Oryctolagus cuniculus: one gene and its partners. The protein of the gene in region 3 purifies or fractionates together with the protein of the main gene of each other region. This does not show direct contact. Links are inferred from orthologs where the notes say so. Each region holds a gene or a part of one and is shown on either strand. Other genes may lie near its edges.

What was found. Proteins that work in one complex are often made in the same cells at the same time.
Region 1: the proteins of PFDN5 (region 3) and PFDN6 purify together in Homo sapiens (affinity purification with mass spectrometry; 5 studies listed by BioGRID and IntAct, with this or other methods). This does not show direct contact. The link is inferred for Oryctolagus cuniculus from reciprocal best matches to the Homo sapiens genes PFDN5 and PFDN6.
Region 2: the proteins of PFDN5 (region 3) and PFDN1 purify together in Homo sapiens (affinity purification with mass spectrometry; 7 studies listed by BioGRID and IntAct, with this or other methods). This does not show direct contact. The link is inferred for Oryctolagus cuniculus from reciprocal best matches to the Homo sapiens genes PFDN5 and PFDN1.

The regions. Positions count from the first base shown.
Region 1 is NC_091436.1:135,834,645-135,837,484, reverse strand, and holds PFDN6 (prefoldin subunit 6), read left to right. Parts: upstream 1-1,178; 5' UTR 1,179-1,436; coding exon 1,437-1,500; intron 1,501-1,701; coding exon 1,702-1,772; intron 1,773-1,852; coding exon 1,853-1,977; intron 1,978-2,148; coding exon 2,149-2,278; 3' UTR 2,279-2,340; downstream 2,341-2,840. Other genes in the region: WDR46 (WD repeat-containing protein 46), read right to left, coding at 1-58, 209-289, 402-614, 711-779. UniProt on the Homo sapiens protein: Binds specifically to cytosolic chaperonin (c-CPN) and transfers target proteins to it. Binds to nascent polypeptide chain and promotes folding in an environment in which there are many competing pathways for nonnative proteins.
Region 2 is NC_091437.1:27,961,788-27,965,860, forward strand, and holds the start of PFDN1 (prefoldin subunit 1), read right to left. Parts: upstream 2,801-4,073; 5' UTR 2,653-2,800; coding exon 2,620-2,652; intron 1-2,619. UniProt on the Homo sapiens protein: Binds specifically to cytosolic chaperonin (c-CPN) and transfers target proteins to it. Binds to nascent polypeptide chain and promotes folding in an environment in which there are many competing pathways for nonnative proteins.
Region 3 is NC_091442.1:56,307,166-56,311,312, forward strand, and holds the start of PFDN5 (prefoldin subunit 5), read left to right. Parts: upstream 1-1,347; 5' UTR 1,348-1,433; coding exon 1,434-1,505; intron 1,506-1,683; coding exon 1,684-1,786; intron 1,787-1,947; coding exon 1,948-1,979; intron 1,980-4,116; coding exon 4,117-4,147. UniProt on the Homo sapiens protein: Binds specifically to cytosolic chaperonin (c-CPN) and transfers target proteins to it. Binds to nascent polypeptide chain and promotes folding in an environment in which there are many competing pathways for nonnative proteins.

The DNA.
Region 1 (2,840 bases), on a different chromosome or scaffold from region 3:
CTTCCTCAGCTTCAGCTGCCTCAAGTCTGCTGCGCGTCTTGGACTTGGAAGGCGGCAGCTACAACAGCGTTGGGAGTGGAGGAGGAGGAGGAGGAGGAGCGGAGGGAGAACACGGAGAATCACAGCAGAGCCACCGGGCCCCACCTCCATCCTTCTCACCCAGGCGCTCCCAGCCTCCAGTCCTTCCCCACCGTCCAGCGATTCTCACCTTTTTAGATTTGTCAATGCGACGGAACTTCCGGGCTGCCTCCACCGGGACGGGGGCGGGGCCCGGGAAGGGGTCCTGGGCCTGGGGCAGAGAGGAGGCAGTCAGCTCACAGCTTCGGGCTGACCCCCCAACCCTTTCACTCGCAAAGCACAGAGAAACCTGCCCCCGCCACCCTGCCGCGGTGCAGGCTCACCCCAGACAAGCTCCGCTGGGGCTCCGGCTTCTTCGGCCCTCGAGACTTCCTCGCGACCAGGGTCTTCTTGGAGATGCGCGACTTCTTTGTGACCTGAGTGTTCTTTGGTCTCTGGGGCCGGAGCTCCCGGTTCCGCTTCTTCTTAGGAGGCGGGCCTGGAGAGGCGCCGGTGGCGCTCGGAGTGGTGTCCACTTCCCAGTATCGCCGCGGTTTCTACGGGCAGATCAGGAGCCCTGGAACTCCGCGGCCCACGTCCCGCCCCCGAACCCCACAGCTAAAACCTCCCTGCCCGTCCAGAGAAGCCTGTACCTTCCTCTTGGCCTGAGGTTTGTCCTTCTTGGGTGGGGCATCCTGACTGGCCTTTGGGACTGTCTCCATCTCGCCCACTGGAACAACGATCCACGTGCAAATCTCTCAGCTGTCCCACAGTCGGCTTAGACTCTCCCGGAAGTCCTCTGTTCCGCCTCAGCCAATCAGCATCGTTCCAGGGCTGAAGTCTTGAGCACGCCATCTTGAGTGAGGGCACACTCTCCTTTAAGGGGCGGGGCGTGCTGTGGCATCTCCCTCGGGCGCCGCAGCTTATACCCGAGGAATGGGGAAAAAAAGTCAAGTCCGGGCCAGAAACCAGTAACAGAATAGTCTTTTTCCGGATTAACTTCTCTGTCTTGCCTAAAACCTTCTGAGTCCAGTCATTTCAGCCGAATGCCGCTTATTAAAAATGTTAGAACTACATTTCCCGACATGCAACCTGGAGGCAACTTCCGGATTGATTTTCCCAGCATTCCATGTTTACTTCCGGGTTGATTAATACAGAAGGGAGAACGTGAGTAGGTTAGGGTACCGTTTCAGGGGTTTTGCGTTTCTTTTCGTCCTGCACCCACTGGGGTCGGGTCGATTCGACTTCCCGGACAGGGAGAGGCCGCGGTGCCCCGAAGGACTGCCTCTCAAGAGGACTGTCATTTCCGTCGGCCCGACCAGAAAGGGGAGCTCGACCCCAGCGCCCCTCTCCCGTTCCCGCAGGCTTTCATCCCCGCCATGGCCGAGCTGATCCAGAAGAAGCTGCAGGGAGAAGTGGAGAAGTATCAACAGCTACAGAAGGGTAAGGGACCGGGTGGGCGTAGTCTCGCCGCAGCCCGCAGACTAGCCGAAACGAGCTCTCCGCCCCAGCCGGCCCGCTCCTTCCCCGCCTGTATACTCGCCCCTTCTTCCCGGTCTGCTTCCTCACATCCGCCTTCTGGGCCAGGACTGTGGGAGCCCGTGGCACTCTTGGTGTCCCACTCACGTCTCCCTTCCTCCCTAGACTTGAGTAAATCCATGTCAGGGAGGCAGAAGCTTGAAGCCCAACTAACGGAAAACAACATCGTGAAGGAGGTGAGGGGCCGGGAGTTGTGGGGGCGGAGCAGCCTGGACCGGCTGCGGTTCTGATCAGACCCGTCCCGCTCGCCCACCAGGAACTGGCTCTGCTGGACGGGTCCAACGTGGTCTTTAAACTGCTGGGGCCGGTGCTGGTTAAGCAGGAGCTGGGGGAGGCGCGGGCCACGGTGGGGAAGAGGCTGGACTACATCACAGCTGAAATGTGAGTTTTTGTCCCACTGCCCTGGCTGTCGGCCGGCGGGTGCTGGGGACCTGAGTGGATTGCCCTTCGGAGCAGCCCACGGAAGCCTCCCCTTTTAACGCGGCCTGCCCCTCCCCCTAGCAAGTCCCTCTAACTTCTCCCTGTCTTCTCTGGCCCCTGGCCTCTCCTCAGTAAGCGATACGAATCCCAGCTCCGGGACCTGGAACGGCAGTCAGAGCAGCAGAGGGAGACCCTGGCCCAGCTGCAGCAGGAGTTCCAGCGGGCCCAGGCGGCCAAGGCAGGGGCTCCCGGGAAGGCCTGACCTCGGGGCGGGGCGGGGTGGGATGGGCCACTCTAAGTACCTAATAAAATGTAAACACCTGGCTCTGTTGTCCTGCTTGTCTGTTCCCCCGGCCTCCATCACCTGACCCACACACCACACACCACTGTTACTCCCTCAAGCCCACATTCCAGCACCTGCAGTCTCTGGAACTAAACTCTAAAATGTCTCAAAGCTGCTCCTCACCTGTACTCGTATGTACAGCCCTTAATTCTCCGTTATTTTCCTAAGACACGGCCTTTTAGGAAACACAAGGACATTTACAACCTAAGCATATTGTTGGGAGTGTCGTTTAAATTGAAGAACTCAGAATTCTCTGAGAACCCAGGATGAAATGTGACTCCTCCCCTTGCTGTGAATACAAGTGCTCCGTAGGGCTCATGGGAAAATGGAAATAAAAGGTTGGGTTACAGCAGGTGGGGGCTTTTGACTCTGCTTCTCAATAAAAATATTTCCATGCAAGACATTTTGAATCATGCATTTTCCATGTACTCTTTGAAGACCCATCACATGCATGACTCCAAAGCTTCTGTACCAAAATAAC
Region 2 (4,073 bases), on a different chromosome or scaffold from region 3:
TCTAGCAAAGTTTCAGAAGATTTACTTTGGGGAAGAAGAGATGTCTATATTTCCTATTAAATACCACTCAAAAAAATAGCTTATGAAGACATTAGGAAATAAAACTGATACACGGAGCCAATGCTAGGGCACTGAAGGTTGAGCCTGCAGCAATGCCATCGAATTCTGGCTGTTCCACTTCTGATCCAGCTTCCTGCTAGCTAGGGTGCCTGAGAAGGCAGTGGAGGATGGCTCAAGTCGTTGGGCCCCTGCACCAACATGGGAGACCAGGAAGAAACTCCTGGCTTTGGCCTGGCCCAGCTCCACCATTGCAGACATCTAGGGAATCAATCAATGGATTCTCTCTCTGCTTCTGCCTCTCCCTCCCTTTCAAATAAATAAATCTTTAAAAAAGAAAAAAAAAAAAAACTGATATACGTTTCCTTGTTAATTGGTTGTCAAAATTATTCAACTTGTCTATAATTTTTTTTTTTTTTTGACAGGCAGAGTTAGAAAGTGAGAGAGACAGAGAGAAAGGCCTTCCTTCCGTGGGTTCACCCCCCAAATGGCCGCTGTGGCCGGTGTGCTGTGCCGATCCAAAGCCAGGAACCAGGTGCTTCCTCCTGGTCTCCCATGCGGGTGCAGGGCCTAAGCACTAGGGCCATCCTCCACTGCACTCCCGGGCCACAGCAGAGAGCTGGCCTGGAAGAGGGGCAACCGGGACAGAATCCGGCACCCCAACCGGGACTAGAACCCGTGGTGCCAGCGCCGCAGGCAGAGGATTAGCCTAGTGAGCCATGGCGCCGGCCTATAATTTTTTTCTTAGTTTGTATTAATTGTTTACTTGTTTCTTATCAATAAATTCAAAGAGTACTGGGAAGCAAGCCCTTTCACAGTTAATACTTTTGATAGTTCTTCATCAAAATCTTGGTTTCTGCAGCACCGGTTCTAGTCCCAGCTGCTCCTCTTTCAATCCAACTCTCTGCTATGTCCTGGGAAAGCAGCAGAAGATGGCCCAAGTCCTTGGGCCCCTGTACCCACGCAGGAGACCTGGAATAAGCTCCTAGCTCCTGGCTCCTGGCTTTGGATGGGTTCAGTTGCGGCCACTTACGGAGTGAACCAGTGGATGGAAGGCCTCTCTCTATCACTCCCTCTCACCTTCTGTAATTCTTCCTCTCAAAAAAAATATTTTTTAAAAAATCTTGGTTTAAGGCCAGCGCAGCGGCTCACTAGGCTAATCCTCCGCCTAGCGGCGCTGGCACACAAGGTTCTAGTCCCAGTTGGGGCGCCGGATTCTGTCCCGGTTGCCCCTCTTCCAGGCCAGCTCTCTGCTGTGGCCAGGGAGTGCAGTGGAGGATGGCCCAGGTGCTTGGGCCCTGCACCCCATGGGAGACCAGGAAAAGCATCTGGCTCCTGGCTCCTGCCACCGGATCAGCGCGGTGCGCCGGCCGCAGCGGCCATTGGAGGGTGAACCAACGGCAAAGGAAGACCTTTCTCTCTGTCTCTCTCTCACTGTCCACTCTGCCTGTCAAAAATAAATAAATAAATAAATAAAACTTGGTTTAAGTTTACACTTTTAATGGAAAAAAGGGTAAATTTTTCAGAAAACACAATTTTATTCTGAAATGTAAAATTTCAGGTATTTTCTGACTGTTCTATACAGTTTATGGAGGAAGATATAGCCAAGATATTAGAGAACAGCATGTAAAAGCAACTTACAAGTTTCAAGACAAGAGCAGCAGAAGAAACGAGACGCAAACACCTTTAAAACAGTAACAGCTTCATTTAATAAGAGCTATTTCAGCTGCCCTATTTCTAATGCAAAGACTGTTCAGATGTTTTCCATGAAGAACTTAAACTACTGGTCAAAAAAACCTGTAAGAGAACATGGTATTCTAATTCCACTCTTTGAGACTTCTCTAGAGTTGTTTCCCTTTCTAGAAAAGTAGATTTAAATCCTATGCAGTCCAGGGTCCTTTCCAATCCGCCCTCGCCCCCCAAAGCACACGTTTTGAGTCGGCAGTGGAGTTAGAATCCTGACTGCTCTCCGGTACCAAACATTTATAAGCAATTGTTTGAACAGAAGAAACGCAATTCCTTCTCAAAATGCTTTTATTTGGCAAACTCTGCTGCTCCTTTTTTTAGACAAGCCCTTCGCAAAAGGAGGGGAGGAGGAGAGGGGACAATGCCTTCCTGCGGCTTTTCAAGGTACAGGATGGGAATAAATGGCTTTAAAACAGGTGTTGGGTTTTTTCTCCCGAATTAAATGAGGCAGAATTACACACGCCTCAGCCCCAGGCAACCGCACCAAAGAGGTTTTAAGACGTTGTCTTCTGTTCTTACCATGAAACTGAGCCCCTGAAGGCTCCAAACGCAACGAAATAGCTCTGGGGCTCAGAACAAACGGGTAAGCTCGCACTCGGACCCGGCCCGGCTCAACTAGCTCCCACCCAGCAAGAGCCGCTAGCTGCCCACTCGGCTCAAGGAGGCCCCGCGGCGCCTCAGGCCTCCGGGAAAACATTCCCCAGTCCTCCAGCGCCTCTTTGCTCCCGCAAACATTCAAGCCTCACTCGATATTCCTGTCCACAGTCCCTTCGGCCTCCAAAGAGAAGCCTCTGCCTGCTCAAGACCCTCTTTTACCTTCTTCAACTCCAGATCCACGGGGGCCGCCATCTTGATGCACCCCTCTGCGCCTGCGCATTGGAAGAAGGCCGGAAAGGGGTGGGGGAAGGGCTGCGTTTTGATGGGTCGCCCTCCTAATGCGCCTGCGCCTGCGTGCCGCTAATCGGGTTTGTTTCCCTGTTGCGGAGCGGGTTACTCTAAATATTCAAGATTCCGATTCAATTTGTCTTCCCTTGCTGACCTATCAGGTCTGGCTTGTTCCTCCACATCTTCCAGACACAGCCCAACGTGTAGATTTCGCTTGTGGCTTTGAACAGTTTGATAGTTTTTCTACTCAATTGAGAAGTGCGTGGATCAGGTCAAACCCTCATCAGTTATTCAGTCCTACAGCTCGTCCTGTGCTGTCAGAGATGAGTAAGAAGGGACCCCAGACCTCAGGCCTAACCATATGGAGAAGACTATTAGAAGGCTTGGGTTTTCCACCAAAGAACTCATTTCTACTGAATGCTCCCAAAGACTTTCTAGATTAGAGATTCTCGAGGGAGGTGATATGTTTGATTTTTGGAAAAATTTTTGGAAAAATGTTTAGTACAGTGGCTAAGACATCAGCATCTCATACTGGAGTGTATGGGTTTGAATCCTGATTAGGCTTCCAATTCTGGTTTCCTGCTAATGAACACCCTGAAAGGCCTTAGTAATGGATCGAGTAATAGGGTTCCTGCCACCCATATGGCAGACCTGAATTGGCCAGCTTTGTTCTGGCCAATCCTGGCACTTGAGGACTTTTGTAGAATGAATCAGTGGAAGGAATCAAGATTTCTCTCTCTCCCTCTCTCTCTCTCTCTCTCTCTCTCTCTCTTTCAAATAATAGTAATAAATGTTAAATAATATAGATTCTTAGGTCTCATTCCAAGCTTATTCAGAATCTTTGAGGGCTTAAAAATTTGCAATTATCCTAACTCCCCATGACCTGGTGGCGCAAAAGTTGTCTACAGAACACATTTGGAGAACCTCTGCTATAAAAGGACCTAGCATTTGAAACAGGCAATTGGGTTTGAGTCCCGGCTGCTCCACTTGTGATCCACCTTTCTGCTGTGGCCTGGGAAAGCAGTAGAAGATGGCTTAACTCCTTGGGCCCCTGCACCCGTGTGGAGACCCAGGGGAGGCTCCCGGCTCCTGGCTTCAGATTTGCTCAGCTCTGGCCGTTGCGGTCATTTCCGGAGTGAACCAGCACATGGAAGACCTCTCTGGCTCTACCTCTCTCTGTAACTCTGTCTTTCAAATTAAAAAATAATAATTCTTTAAAAAAAAAAAAAAGAAAGAAAGAAAGGGACCAGCGCCGCGGCTCACTAGGCTAATCCTCCGCCTAGTGGCGCCGGCACAATGGGTTCTAGTCCCGGTCGGGGCGCCGGATTCTGTCCCAGTTGCCTCTCTTCCAGGCCAGCTCTCTGCTGTGGCCAGGGAGTGCAGTG
Region 3 (4,147 bases):
TATAGTAGGTTAAGCCTCTGCCTGTGGTGTCTGCATCCCATATGGGCACTGGTTCGAGTCCTGGCTGCTCCACTTCCGATCCAGCTCTCTGCTATGGCCTGGGAAAGCAGAAGATGGCCCAAGTCCTTGGGCCCCTGCACCCATTGGAAAACCTGGAAGAAGCTCCTGGCTTTGGATCCACACAGCTCCAGCTGTTGCAGCCATTTTGGGAGTGAACCAGATGGAAGACCTTTCTCTGTGTCTCTACCTCTCAAATAGGTCTTTAAAAAAAAAAAAAAGTTTTAATTTATTTGAAAGAGGAGAGCGAGAGATCTCATCTGCTGGTTTGCTCCCCAAGTGACCACAATGGCCAGGGCTGGCCAGGCCAAAACTAGGAGCTTAATCTGGGTCTCCCACACAGGGGCCCGAGGACTCAGGCTATCTTCCCATCTCCCACTGCTTTCCCAGGCACATTAGCAGGGAGCTGGATCAGAAGTGGAGCAGCCGGAACTCAAACTAGCACCCATTTGGGATGCTGTCATAGTAGGCGGCTGCCTAACCTGCTATGCCACATTTGCCCTAGCAGCTCAGGTGGGTGTATCCCACCTTGGAGTGCCTGGATTCAATTCCCATCAGGAATTCCGGGCATCCTAGGAAACAACACATAGACCTTGGCCTCCCAGAACACACACCCACATGTAAGCCAGAACCCCAGGAAATAACCCATGTAGGTTCTGGGCTCCAAGGAAACAAGATGTGTTCATAGCACAGCACCTGGTTTGAGTCCCAGCTACTCTACATTTCCAATGCAGCTTCCTGAAGGCAGCAGATGATAACTGAAGTACTTGGGCCCAGCACCCAATGCGGCCGACCAGGATGGCGTTCCAGGCTCCGTCTAGCTAGCGCAGGTAACACATGCTACGGAGTGACACCTTGTGCTATGCTTGTTGGCTGACTGTGGCTTTTTTTTTTTTTTTTTTCAATTTTTCACAGTTCACAAAACATTTATTGTGTGACGTTCAGACTGCGGCTTTTTAATCCTCTCCACTTCCAGACTCTCCCCTGCGTCTGCTCCAAGCAGCATTTTCATGATGCTCCTCTGCGACAAGGGACAAGGGGCCCGACCAGCTGCCCCCCACCACGCACACAGCTGTCGGTCACTAGATTTACACGCTGCCTTACAGGATTGTGGCTGTGTCCTGAGCACTTCAGGATTTTCAACTTCCTGGAGGACAGGCATCATGGCTTGCTACAACTTTATTGGACTAGGCTTAGACTATCCCGTGACTCTCAACACAAGGTGCACCTGAGCGGCTCCAGCGCCTCCCTCCCTTGCGGGTCATAGAGACGTCCGGCGCAGCGAGGCCGCCGGGCACGGCCATAGAGACGCGCAGGAGACGGCTAGAGCGTCGCTCACGCGGCCGGCTTCCTCTCGGCTACTCCTCCGTCCCAACATGGCGCAGTCGATCAACATCACGGAGCTGAACCTGCCGCAGCTAGAAATGCTCAAGAACCAGCTGGATCAGGTGGGGATGGAGCCCGAGCAACACCTTTCGCGCGCTCCACATCCCGTCGGCCACACGCAGCCTCTCGCCCCCCACCCCGTTCCTTTCCAGTTTGAGCCGTTTCCCTTCCCCGGCTCCCAGGGTCCGCCCCTCTCGGGCCCCGGGTCCTCAGCCGGCCCCGCTTTCCCGTCCCGTGTAGGAGGTGGAGTTCTTGTCCACGTCCATCGCCCAGCTCAAGGTGGTACAGACCAAGTACGTGGAAGCCAAGGACTGTCTGAACGTGCTGAACAAGAGCAACGAGGGTATGCGGCGTAGGAGCGGGCAACGCGGGGACCGCGGCGGCGAGAGGACCGGGCGCTGCGCGCTGAGCGCCGCTGCACGCGCCCTGTGCATGCTGCCGGGCTCTGAACTCCCTTTACGGCTGCCAGCCTGCCCACGCTGTTTGTCTTCATTGCTTTCACAGGGAAAGAACTGCTCGTCCCACTGACAAGTTCCGTATCCTTTCCACTGGGATTGCTACCGCGCCGCCTCCCGGGGGCGGGGCGGACACCGTAGAACTCCCCCTTGATTTTTTTTTTTAATTTGAAAGGCAGAGTTAGAGAGAGGCAGAGAGAGAGTGGCCTTCCATCCGTTGGTTAATTGCCCAATTGGCCGCAATGGCCAGTGCTGTGCCGATCCGAAGCCAGGAGCTTCTTCCGGGTCTCCCACACGGGTGCAGGGGCCCAAGGACTTTGGCCATCTTCCACTGCTTTCCCAGGCCACAGCAGAGAGCTGGATTGGAAGTGGAGCAGCCGGGACTCAAACCTGCGCCCACATGGGAAGCGGCACTGCAGGCAGCGGCTTTACTGGCTACCCCCTCCCCCCAGTGATTTTGAGAGGGCTCTTGTTGTACACACTTCGTAGCCTCAGGTCGACATCCAGCTCATGCCTTCTGAGTGCCAAGGGATATGGTATGTAGAGTTGTGGTCTCCCCCCCATGCTGTTAGAGGCCATGAATATGAAGAAAAAGCTGATCTTCTTTTGCTAGTATTAAACAGGGAGGTTGGCTCTGTTCATTAACCCTAAATTTCACTTTCCCCGTGGCCCATTCCTCAGCTGCTGGAAGGAGCCTGGGTTAGGCTCACCTGCTGGGGGTTGACCTGGAATGAGCAGGTTCTGGCAGTGGCGAACCTGCGGTGCGTAGCTGGCGTTTGGGAAAGGGCACAGGAACGGCGGTGTAGCAGTGAATGGGCATGAGCCACTTCGTGATGGGGGACGATGAGGGGACATGAAGCTGGCTCTTCACGGGGTCCACTCCAGGCAGGGGGAGACCATCACCAAATCCAGTCTTTGCCGAGGAGTCCTTGGGAGGAGTTACAACAATCGCTTGGAGGGCGGGAGATGGAGTCGGGGCTAGAGTTCCAGCACAAGCCAGCTTTCTCCAAAAGGAGCCAGCATCTTTGCGGCTGCCTTTTGGGGGCTTCAGGCATACTTCTTTTCTTTTCTTCTTTTCTTTTCTTTTCTTTTCTTTTCTTTTCTTTTTTCTTTCTTTCTTCTTTCTTTTCTTTCTTTCTTTCTTTCTTTCTTTTTTTTTTTTTTTTTGACAGAGTTAGAGAGACAAAGGTCTTCCTTTTTCCGATGGGTCATCCCCCAAATGGCCGCTATGGCCGGCACACTGCGCCGATCCGAAGCCAGGAGCTGGGTACTTCCTCCCGGTCTCCCATGCGGGTGCAGGGCCCAATCACTTGGGCCATCCTCCACTGCCTTCCCGGGCCACAGCAGAGAGCTGGCCTGGAAGAGGAGCAACCGGGACAGAATCCAGTGCCCCAACCGGGACTAGAACCTGGGGTGCCGGCGCTGCAGGCGGAGGATTAGCCTAGTGGGCTGTAGCACTGGCTTTCAGGCATATTTCTAAGGCCTCCAGATTACTCAGTCCTTACCCCTTGTGGTTTGTTTTAAAAAAAAGACGGTCAGGGCCAGCACTGTGGTGCAACAAATTAACCCACGGCCTGCAGCACCCGCCTTTGTTGGTTCAAGTCCTGGCTGCTCCACTTCTTTAGAAAAAAAAAAAAAAAGACATTTATTTATTTGAGAGGCAGAGTTACAGACAGAGGGAGTGAGAGACAGAGACTGGAAAGCCCTTCCATCCACTGGTTCACTCCACAATGGCTGCAACAGCCAGAGCAGCGCCAACCTGAAGCCAGGAGCTTCTTCCAGGTCTCCCACGTGGGTACAGGGGCCCAAGCACTTGGGCCATCCTCTACTGCTTTCCCAGACCACAGTAGAGAGCTGGATTGGAAGAGGAGCAGCTGAGACTTGAACCAGCACCCATATGGATGCTGGCTCTGCAGGTGGAGGCTTAGCCCCACTACACCACAGCGCCAGTCCTGGCCAACTTCTGATCCAGCTCCCTGCTGATGCGCCTGGGTAAGCAGCAGCAGATGGCCCAAGTGTTTGGGCCCCTGCAGACCCAGAAGAAGCTCCAGCCGGCTAGTTGCGGCCACTTGAGGAGTGAATAGATCTCTCTCTGTAACTCTGCCTTTCAAATAAATTAATTAAAAAAGAAAGAAAGAAGCCGTAGGAGGCCAAGCAGCTGGCCCACAGGGACTCGGGGCTCATGCTGGGCTGGTTCCCCTTAACCCTTGCCTCGCAGATGTACGTCCCTGGCAAGCTGCACGACGTGG